3 linked regions of the Cricetulus griseus genome follow. The protein of the gene in region 3 binds, or shares a complex with, the protein of the main gene of each other region. Links are inferred from orthologs where the notes say so. Each region holds a gene or a part of one and is shown on either strand. Other genes may lie near its edges. The genes, in order: Ppp4c, Ppp4r3b and Ppp4r4.

Region 1 (3,328 bases), on a different chromosome or scaffold from region 3:
CTACCCCTTAGTTCACACCTTGATTTCACTCCACCCCCTCTGGCTTCAAAGCTCAGGCAAAGCTGCTCAGAATCCAGCTGGGGCCAGCTTCCCCTTCTCAGCTCTCACCTCAGTGTGAATGGAGGGAAGACTTTGCCTGGCCAAATGGGGGCCTCAGCCCCGTGCCCCCACCTCCCAGGGGCCTCATCACTGGTGTAAGCCACACCAGCTTGTTCTCAGGATCAGAGTATTTTTGTTAATAAAACTCAAAAGACATTAGTGCTCAGGAAACGTTGGGCTAATGGTGTTGGCCCTGGGTGGGGCTGGGGAGCCACAGCTTTGAGGGCAGACCCGTTTCCAGATGCTTGCCCTTGTGGCTGTGAAGCAGCCTGCTCTGCGCATGTCCCCCTTCAGGGGGATGGGTAAATCTCTTCACAATGGTTGTTTTAAGAATAAAGGCTGTCCTGGAACCTCACTTTTACCCAGTACTAAGCAAGCCTTTGGGAAAGATCACCAGATGGAGCCTAAAGGCTCCGGGCTAGTGGACAAGCAGGACAGGGCTCCTTGTCTACCTCAGGGCCTAGTCAAACGTAACAGAACACCCTCAAGACTATTTTTCTTCTTTTATTAGAATTTTTTTTCTTTTTTTTCTCAAAATGTTTATCTAAAAACAAAACAAAAGAAAAAAAAGGAAAAAAAATGACTGGAAACTTCAAGGATCAAATGGGAGAAAGGAGAGGAAGCCTGGAGTGGAGGCCCCAACCTCTCCAGAGCAGTCCGCACCCTAGGGCAAGCAAAGCCAGGCAGCCCCTCCACACCCGGCCTCCGACTGGGCAGAGGGCAGTCACAGTGGTCCAAGGGCCAGAGGGGCTGGGGCCTAGGAGTCACAGGAAATAGTCAGCCACCGGCTTCTTGGAGGGGATGCCACGTGTTTCCTGTGGTGCAGCCTCGAAGATGATGAAATCTTTCTGGAGATGCTCATCTAGTTCCAAGATGGCTGCCACATTCCCACAGCTGGATTTAGGAACAGCACAGTTAGCAACAGTTGGCCTAGATCCCTACTCCTACCCCTACCCCGGCTCCTGGTCCTGCCAGCTTACCGGTAGCAGTAATTAGGTGCTGACCACACAGTAAGCACGGTCTCATTGAAGTGCCACTTGTAACCTTCCATCACCAATTGATGGGCGCGACAGATCATGTCAATGTCATTGGCTGCATTGAACTGGGCCACCACATCACTGCCAAACAAGTAGCCTGCCCCACGGGGGCTCACTCCCCAGCCTGTTGTGTCTGAGACAAGACAAGGACAATGTGTGGGGTCCTCTGGTTGACTACTATACCACAGAATTAGAAGCCTGTGCCTCTTCCCCTCATCAACCAGAGGCTTGTTCTAGGGAACCCTGGAAGATAGGATAGTAAATACTGGAGCAGAGGCACTCCGAGGAGAAAGATGGCTTCATGGCTGGGACCTACCTCCTCATCACAGTGGCCATAACATACAATGTGCTGTTCAAGCAGCACTCAAGTGATAGGAAGTGCTCACACCCAGAGCACCAGCCATGACCAACCACTTTCCTGGCAGTAAGGTCACCTTATGCCACATGACGCAGACTGCAGTAACAGTGGTGGAATTAGAGAGTATGCTTAGGACTGGTACTCAGAAAGCCAGGCTTTAAACCTCAGTTCCGCCCCTAACTAGAGGGGAACCACACAAAATTAGGAACCGTCAGAGGTCTTCGTTCTAAGGGAATGGGTCTCACCTCCAAAGAAGCTACTGTCAAGGTCTATGACCTCTTCCCCCCAGGGAGCCAAGGGTTTCATCCTGAACAGACCCTCTAAGCCATGAAACTCATGAGCCAACCCACAGTAGGCCTCAGTGCACCACCATTCATGCTTTCTGCTCCTTGAGGAGGATCCAGTCACACAAGGAGAAGGCAGAAGCCAGTACAGGCCAAACTTGCCCTCCTCTTCCCTGCCTGACTTCCCTTCATACACTTGCTTAATCCAGTCTTCACAAGACACACGGAGAGCCAGCTCAGGTATTGCCCTCACCTTCAGGGTCAGACCACAAGAGGTCACACATGGGTCCATCATGGGGTACCTCTTGCTTTCGGTCAATTGTCCGGATCTGGTCCAGGGTCTGGATGGAAGGGGAGAGGCCCCCATGCACACAGAAGATCTAGAAGGGAGAATGATACCAGAGAGAAGGAACTAAAAGCCCAGAGACCCAGCACAGCCTCCCCCTCCCCCCAGGAGATCCAGGGCCAACCTACCTTGCCATCAATGATGGCAGACAGGCTGAGGTAGTCAAAGATCTCAGTGCAGTAGCGCCATACAGTCACTGAACCATATTTGCGCAAGCATTCATCATAGAAGCCATAGACCTGGGTGATCTGGCGGCTCTCATGATTGCCCCGGATCAAAGTGATGCGGTCAGGATATCGAACCTAGGGGTAGCACCAAGCAAGAACTGGTTCTAGTCTCTACCTCCCACTTAACCATCCCAAGTCTCCAAGACATCCATTAGCCTCACTCAGTCCTCTGCCTGGCCCAGACTCCCGCAGTCTCTTACATAAATCATGGTGTCCCTGCCTCACAAGCTCCTGAGAGCCTTTTCCAGAAGCTACTGCCAGACTCTGGCTCTTGTCCTTAGCACCCCACACTCACCCCATGTGGCCCTTCACTATGACTTCTCCCAGTTCACTTAACTCCTGCTGCTCCCTGAACACACAGCCTCTGCCTGCTTTCCAAAACTCACATCACCAGCCTCTTCTGTAAGGGCTCAGGAGATGGCCCCACTCATGGCAGCAGTCCTGACTAGCCCCGCTAAGCACACAGTCCACAGCCACAGCAAAGTTCCAAGGTAGGTGACAGGAAAGGTGATGAGGGCAGCAAGTAGTGGCCAAAGCTCAGGCTCCAGGGGCCAAGAGTCCTCACCTTAAGAGCCAGCAGGAGGAGGAAGGTTTCAACACTGTAGAAACCACGGTCCACAAAGTCTCCCATGAAGAGGTAGTTGGTCTCAGGGACATCGCCACCTACCTGGGAGGAGGGATACGACTCTGCTTGGCCCCAAACTATCCTCTCTGGCTACAGCAACCAGAGTCTAGCTGAGCCCCTTCTCTCACCCACAGACCATGCAGCCTAAGACCTATCAATGATCATGGCTTTCTGTCACCCTAGGTTCAAAGTCCCAGTATCCCCCCACTCACTCTGAAAAGCTCCTTGAGGTCATAGAATTGTCCATGAATGTCACCACATACCTGGAAAGAAAGAATGTGGGTTGAAAGAGTGGACAAAGGCACAGTCCCTCTATTCCCAGACACCATCCTTCAAAACACATGTTACTTTC
Region 2 (3,654 bases), on a different chromosome or scaffold from region 3:
AAAATTTAAAGGTCACATACTTTCTTACTCTTACTTGTAAGTGTCTAGTAGTTGAATGACAGTTTTGGGTGGATCTTCAGGATGGGTCACTGTTGGTGATCATGTATAGATTCTATGTCACCACCAAGTCACTCACCAAACCACTATTGAAAATTAGGACATTTAAAAGTGAAATTCAAGTCTTGTGATTCACATTTGCTCATTTTTTCTCAGTGTCATTTTTCTTGGAGAAATGTTTTAGGATCATGTGTGGCATGTTGAACATTACAGTCAAGCAAGACATTCTTGTGATCTATTGTGAAACTGCAGTTTTCTATCATAGGAGTAATAATAAAAAATGAATACAAAAACTAAATTTTTTTCTTTAGTAGAATTTTTTACAAAATGTCTAAACAATGGGATGGAATTTTAAAATTTTGAAGATGACAGAATTGGAAAGTTAAAAGTAGTCCAAATGCCTTTTGTTACAGTTGAGGGAACTGAGGCAGCAGAAATGAAATTATTTTTCTAAGAGTGGCCACTTGCCAGGAGTATAATTTTGAAAAGGTGAAGTGTAGTTTAGCCTTGGAAGACAAGCAGCATAGTCAATTACCCTAGCTGTTGTCTGTTCTGCTGCCTCTCATGAGCTTTCTATGGACTTAGATCATTTTCCCTTTAGCATTTTGGTGAGATACTGATAAAATGAATTGAGTTCACACCACCCAATGCCTTTGATAGAGTTTGCAATTTTTTTTGGAAATTGATAAGCTTAATACACTGAATCTTCAACCTTAACATGTGTTTGTTCCATTTACAACAGTTTACTGCCAAAATAGAAAATGTGGAGTTACAGTTAAGTAGTTGATCCAGTTTGTATATACAATATAATCAAAGGAATCTGTGCTTATTATCTATTTAGATAAGACTTACACTATTTTGACAGCAGTTAAATAGGAAATCATTAACAATTACTGAACATATGGGCTTAACATTTGTTTTCTAATAAGCTCTCAAGGCTTACATTTTGTCTTTTTGTAAAATGGGTGTAACTTCATGATTGTGAGAATTATATGTAAAATTGTGGAAGTGTTCTTTGAAATTATGAAGTACTGTATAAAGCATTAAGACATAAACTAAATCCATTGCTTTTCAAATGTTCCTTATAGCCCCCTAAAGGGCTCCAGTGAATTGCCTCTCCTTGTTCCAAGTTTTCTGTGGAGTCCTGTCCTGGCTCATGTATAAGGAATCTAGGACATTTATTTTTAGAAGGTGATTTTGAAAAACCTTTTTTGATCAACTTTGGAACTATTCAAGTTTTTTTTTTTTTTAATTTTTTTCTCAACAAGTATTATATTGTTTTGTAAATACGAATTTTGTGCCTATACAGGAAGATATCAAGTCTCTTACTGCACATATAGTTGAAAACTTTTATAAAGCACTTGAGTCGATTGAATATGTTCAGACATTCAAAGGATTGAAGACTAAATATGAACAAGAAAAAGACAGACAAAATCAGAAACTGAACAGGTATTGTTTAAGTGCATTAACATTTGTAGAAAGCAAAATTAAGTATGAGATGGTCCAGTTGAAATCTTAGTATGTGAAATTTTCTATATTAGCATAGCCTTTTATAAGAGGATCAATTGTCCTTCTTGCCCCATCCATTATAGATAACTTACTTGATAGTGCATATATAGTAACTCAAGATGGATTCTTAATTTAGTGTACCACATGCAAAAACATTTGATGAGTTCTCTGACTACATTGTACATGGTGACATCATAGCTTAAAAGTATGTTAGTTCATCTTGGTTTATTTATCCTTCCCAAACTTATCTGGTCATGACCTTGTAGTCATTATTCAATATCTGTAATATATTTCTTACAGTGTGCCGTCTATATTGCGTAGTAACCGATTTCGTAGAGATGCAAAAGCCTTGGAAGATGATGAAGAAATGTGGTTTAATGAAGATGATGATGAAGAAGGAAAGGCAGTTGTGATACCAATTGAAAAATCTAAGACCGAAGATGATTTTCCAGATAGTTATGAAAAATTTATGGAGACTAAAAAAGGTACTAAGATCCTGAATGTTCATATAATACTGACTTTCTTAGTAAAACAGTCAGACTGCCTGAGTTTGATCCTGAGCACCATGCACACGCACGCACGCACGCACGCACGCACGCACGCACGCACGCACGCACACACACACCCATAAAAAATAATAATAATAAACTTTTACCTGTTTGGGAAAGTCTGGCCAAGGTTTGTAAAACAAACATAAGAATTTTATGCTGAGTCATACCCTTTTAAAATTTTCCACTTCCCAAGTGTTTTTTTGTTGTGTTTTTTTGTTTTGTTTTTTAAATTTTTTTTGGTTTTTCGAGACAGGGTTTCTCTGTGTAGCTTTGGAGCCTATCCTGGCACTCACTCTGGAGACCAGGCCGGCCCCGAACTCACAGAGATCCACCTGCCTCTGCCTCCCAAGTGCTGGGATTAAAGGCATGCACCGTCAATGCCCGGCCCAAGTTATTTTAGGTGTTCATATTTAATTAGTTTTCCTTGAAAGATGATGTCTTTGATGCTATTCATTTTGGGCTCAAATTTTTTCAATTTATACTATTATTTAAAGCCAGGTCTCAATGTGTATCCTTGTTCTAGCCTAGAGCTTACAGTTTCCCAATCTCAGCTTCTCACTATATGCTATAGTCACTGTACGTGCCACCACACCTGTCCTCTGTTAGCGATTTGTTGTCTGTCTATACGTCTCTGAGCAGACCAGTCTTGGCTTTGTTTCTTTATGACAATTTCATAGAGGATTTTTGTTATGATTAAATTGTTTGAGTGTTTCTATTATTAAGTAACGGAGACTATAACTAGAGCAGTCCACCTCTCATGTTTACAGCTGAGAAAGAGAGCTCAAAGAAGTAACTTTGAAAGTTCAGCTTTTATTAAAGTTGCTTAAAGAAAGATATAATAGGGAGAAGCTGGGCATGGTGGGATACACCTGTAATCTCAGCATTCTTGAACTAAGGTCATAGAAGCACTGTGAACTTGGCCAGGCATAGGAAGACCCAGTCTCCAAAAAAAAAATAAATAAATAAACCAAATAAACCCAGGTGTGGTGGCCCCCTCTCCTAACCCCAGCACTCTAGAGGTGGAGACAGGAGGATTAGAAGTTGAAGGTGATCCTCAGCTACAAAGCATATTTGAGACTTAGCCGAGGTACATTAGATACTACCTCAAAGGGGGAAGGAGGAAGTTTTCCTACTTGTTGTATAGAACTAAGATATTGCTTGTATCTTTCAAGAGAAATAATCAGTGTCCTAAAGAAAATCCGACCTGCTAATACTCTGTGAATGTTTAATAGAAATTTATATGTTGTAAGGCAACATTATCTCTTGGACGTATTTTTAATGTGGCTTATCCTACAGGTATTTCTTCTTTCTTAGAAAATTCATTCAGTTGACTAGTACCTTTTTTTCAGCCATTCCCCAATCTAACTTATTTCCTATTCATGAGTACCATGGATTCCACCCAAGAAGGGCAAAGAGATTATTGGAGTTCTAAAGAACATTATTTACTTTTTATTTATGTAATTGCTAGAGCCTAAACACGGGGCCTTGAATGTGCTTGGCTTAGTGATCTACCACTAAGCTATATATCCACATCCTA
Region 3 (3,654 bases):
AACCCATTAATGCCAGTTCCAGTCTGAATCCTAGGGGTGCCCTCAATATTAGAGGCAAAAAGATTCATCCAATTATGTGCAGCATTGCTCCTGTATTTATCAAATTACTTCAATGATCATTCTGAAATATTTATACAAAATTATTGTCTATACCACAAAAATCTTCAGAGACCCTCCCAGTCCAGAAAAAATGTCAATAGTTCTAGTGAACCCAATCCTACAATTACACAACTGACTTTCATACCTCAGTCTTGACATTTAGCCCTCCAAATATTACGTTGTCATAGTGGCTAATATCCACTTGCCCAGAGCGAGGCCCCAGTCTAGGTCTAGGTCCACACTTGGTAGATCAGCTAGCTTCCTGCGGCTCAGTTTGCACAAGAACAAGAAACAACGTCTTTCACATCACCATTGAATTATCTACCCCAAATTTCTCCTCCCACAGCCAGATTTCTGGCATTATAATATTATTAAGAAAGAATTCATTTAGATGTTATAAGCATCTTACAATCAGGACTTAACATCAGTTAGTTGGGTGAGCTAAGGGCTACTTGTCAAGACAAATTCTTCAACTTCTATATATGTCAGTTAAGTTTTGAAGAGAGAAATGAGAAGTATGAAACATACAGCAGCACTAGATTCCAGGAGGGTTAGAGTAAAAGTATGGAAGGCATCAAGATGGAAGAATCATAAAACTCTAAACTCAACAAAAAATTCTGAATCAGTCTTTGCTCCTTATTAGTAATATGGGAAACAGTCTTTCAGAAATAAAGATCTCTGCACATGCAGTTTTACCTGTATCAAACATGTCAAGCATGTTCACCAAGGTTTCAAAAGCAGCAAGCCGCACACTGCCACTCTCATCCCCAGAGAGTTCTATTAATTCGGGGAGCACCACACTCTTTGTCAGTTCTGTCCTGCACAATAAGCAGTAGAAGAAAGTAAGTCAGACCAACAGCAAGAGTCCAGTGAAAACAAGTGATTATCCCAGATGGTCCCAGTGTCCCACGCTAGTCCCCAAGCATGCCATCTGGTTGGAAAAGCAGCCATAGTGTAAGAAATACAGGTTAGATATGGGAGGAGTCATGGGGGTTTGTGAGGGAATATAATTAAAACACTTCATGTGAAATTCTCAAAGAATTAAAAATATTTAAATAAATATTAATAATAATTTCATGATTAAATCAATTTTCATTTCACCTGTAAACTACTGTTAACTATAGAAATTTTAATGATTAGGACATTATATTAAGCTTTATAAATTATATCATTTTCAATTTTAAAGAAATTTCAAAAAGTGATCCAGCTAATTAAGAAAAAAGTTATTATAAGTATTGGTAGAAATTCAAGCAAAACCATTTGACCTAGATTTTGGGGCATATGTTATTTTTCTAATCATCTGAAACACAACATTATGATAGTTTCCACACAGAAGAATGACAGACAACACTGGATATTCAACATAAAACAATAAGGTATGAAAGATGCTTTTACAGAATAAACAACATTTAGAACATAGTCATAAGCAGCAAAAAGCCAGCACTTCATTCCTACTGATGACAAAGGTTCAGACTCAGATAATAGGGAGTCATAACATATTGTCAGCTTTCTTAGATACAATATGGAAGGCAGCATAAATTATACGTGGCGTATTTTATTGACAGAGTTTTTAACAAAAATAGCACAGGCAGGTGGATCTCTGAGAGTTCAAGGCCAGCATGGTCTTGTTCCATGCCAGTCAGGGCTGCACAGTGAGACCATCTCAAAAAAAAAAAAATGAACAAACGAATAAATCTCAAAAAACCACTAAAAACTGGGAGGGGTAGCACACACCTTTAATCCCAACACTGGGGAGGCACAGACAGGTGAGTCTCTGAGTTTTGGGCCAGTCTGGTCTGCTTAGTGAACTCCAGACCAGTGAAGGCTACACAGTGAGACCCTGTCAAAATAAATCAATAAAGCAAACCAAAAAAGCCTTCAACAGAAGATTGCTCCTTCAGTTTCCTCACACGGTCTTGAGCAAAATTTTCTCTTACGCTGTCTATAATTACTGCATTTGTTGTATGACAGACAGGGCATCAACAGGAACCTCAGCTGGACCTGTGAGGACAGGTCCTCCCCCACCACACAGCTAACAGCACACCTCTAAGCAAGTCATCTCTCTCTTCTGAACTCGGAGGGTGGCTGTGTACAACTATTCACTATGCATTTGAATTTTCTAGCCTATTTTAATTTTTTAAAAATTAATTGTAAGTTTATTTAAACTTTCATTCTCACAGCTTTTTCTTCTCAAGAATGTCACCTTGTTAAATCCTCTACCACATTGTATTAGTGTGAATTTAAATAATTTTAAGTGTTAAGGAGATAATTAATTTTCTCATTTCATTAGAGCCAAAAAGTTTTGGTGTTTGATTATTATAAGGAGTTAATGGGAACTTTAGGACATAGGGCATATTGGGAGTTTTCCAGACTCTGGAGACATGCCCTGGAAGCAGGAAGTCCCTTCTTCTCCACTTTTTGTTTCCTGGTGAAGAAATGATGGCCGTGTTCCACACACTCTCCACCATGATGTGCTGCCTTCCCAGAGACCCAACGGTTATGGGAAACCTTCAAATAACGACCCCAAATAACCTTTTTCTCCCCATTAGTTGCTACAGCATCTGTTACAGCAATGGAAAGCTGACTGACATGACTAGAAATAAGACACCATCACTTTTCAGTTGTCACACCATGAAGAATCCTATAGTCAGTCATATTTGTAAGAGGACAACAGGGATACTCAACAATAAATAAATATGCGTACATGGTCAAGAAATTGGTTCCTTAAATAGATTCTAACCTGCTGAAGTTGAGTATATTCTCTGCAATTTTGTTTTCATAAATTAATCCATAAAGAATAATCCTAAATTAATTTGGGGAAGACTAATTTGAAAATCCTTGCTGTGGTTGTTTGATTATGTTTGAATGCTTGGTCACCAGTTGGAACTGCTTGGGAAGAATTAGGAGATGTGGCCTTGTTAGAGAAGGTATGTCACCAGAGGTGGGCTTTGAAGTATAAAAAGGCCACACCAGGCCCAGTCTCTCTCTGCCTCTGGCTCTCTGTAAGTGTGTCTCTCTCCCTCCCTCTCTTACTCTCTCTGCCTGCTGCCTGTGGATCAGGATGTAAAGCTCTCAGCTACTGCTCCAGTGCCACACTTGTCTGCGTCCCACCATGACGACGATGAACTAACCCTCTGAAACTACAAGCAAGCCCCCAAGCAAATGCCTTCTTTTATAAGTTACCTTAGTCATGGTGTCACTTCACAGCAATAGAACCATAACTAAGAAACTTAGCCTTCCCACTTTTTAAACAGGAAAAAAAATGTCAGGTGGTTAAAAAAAAAGTAAACAAATAAATATTTCACATCTTTATAAAGTGAATAAGGCAGTAATACATTGTCCAGTCAAATTCTGATTCTGACTCATCAGGTTTGGGTGAGACTATTAACTATAGTCCACAGTAATCCAACAAGAGTAATGTAGCCTCAAAAGACTTATCAAAAATATTTCTGAGAGCAAAACAAAAGAACTGATTAGCAGACATAGCACAAAGTACATGACTATTCCCTGGGTCTGTTAGTGGCATCCTAAAGCTTTCCAAAGTCATCATTACTA

Evidence for each region.
Region 1: Ppp4r4 (region 3) and Ppp4c share a complex: the UniProt entries of both Homo sapiens proteins name them as parts of the PP4 complex. The link is inferred for Cricetulus griseus from reciprocal best matches to the Homo sapiens genes PPP4R4 and PPP4C.
Region 2: Ppp4r4 (region 3) and Ppp4r3b share a complex: the UniProt entries of both Homo sapiens proteins name them as parts of the PP4 complex. The link is inferred for Cricetulus griseus from reciprocal best matches to the Homo sapiens genes PPP4R4 and PPP4R3B.

The regions. Positions count from the first base shown.
Region 1 is NC_048596.1:73,952,746-73,956,073, reverse strand, and holds the end of Ppp4c (serine/threonine-protein phosphatase 4 catalytic subunit), read right to left. Parts: intron 3,240-3,328; coding exon 3,189-3,239; intron 3,019-3,188; coding exon 2,917-3,018; intron 2,427-2,916; coding exon 2,253-2,426; intron 2,159-2,252; coding exon 2,032-2,158; intron 1,270-2,031; coding exon 1,080-1,269; intron 994-1,079; coding exon 864-993; 3' UTR 622-863; downstream 1-621. UniProt on the Homo sapiens protein: Protein phosphatase that is involved in many processes such as microtubule organization at centrosomes, maturation of spliceosomal snRNPs, apoptosis, DNA repair, tumor necrosis factor (TNF)-alpha signaling, activation of c-Jun N-terminal kinase MAPK8, regulation of histone acetylation, DNA damage checkpoint signaling, NF-kappa-B activation and cell migration.
Region 2 is NW_023276807.1:78,078,738-78,082,391, reverse strand, and holds part of Ppp4r3b (serine/threonine-protein phosphatase 4 regulatory subunit 3B), read left to right. Parts: intron 1-1,366; coding exon 1,367-1,506; intron 1,507-1,866; coding exon 1,867-2,051; intron 2,052-3,654. UniProt on the Homo sapiens protein: Regulatory subunit of serine/threonine-protein phosphatase 4 (PP4). May regulate the activity of PPP4C at centrosomal microtubule organizing centers.
Region 3 is NC_048598.1:191,028,099-191,031,752, forward strand, and holds part of Ppp4r4 (serine/threonine-protein phosphatase 4 regulatory subunit 4), read right to left. Parts: intron 918-3,654; coding exon 796-917; intron 1-795. UniProt on the Homo sapiens protein: Putative regulatory subunit of serine/threonine-protein phosphatase 4.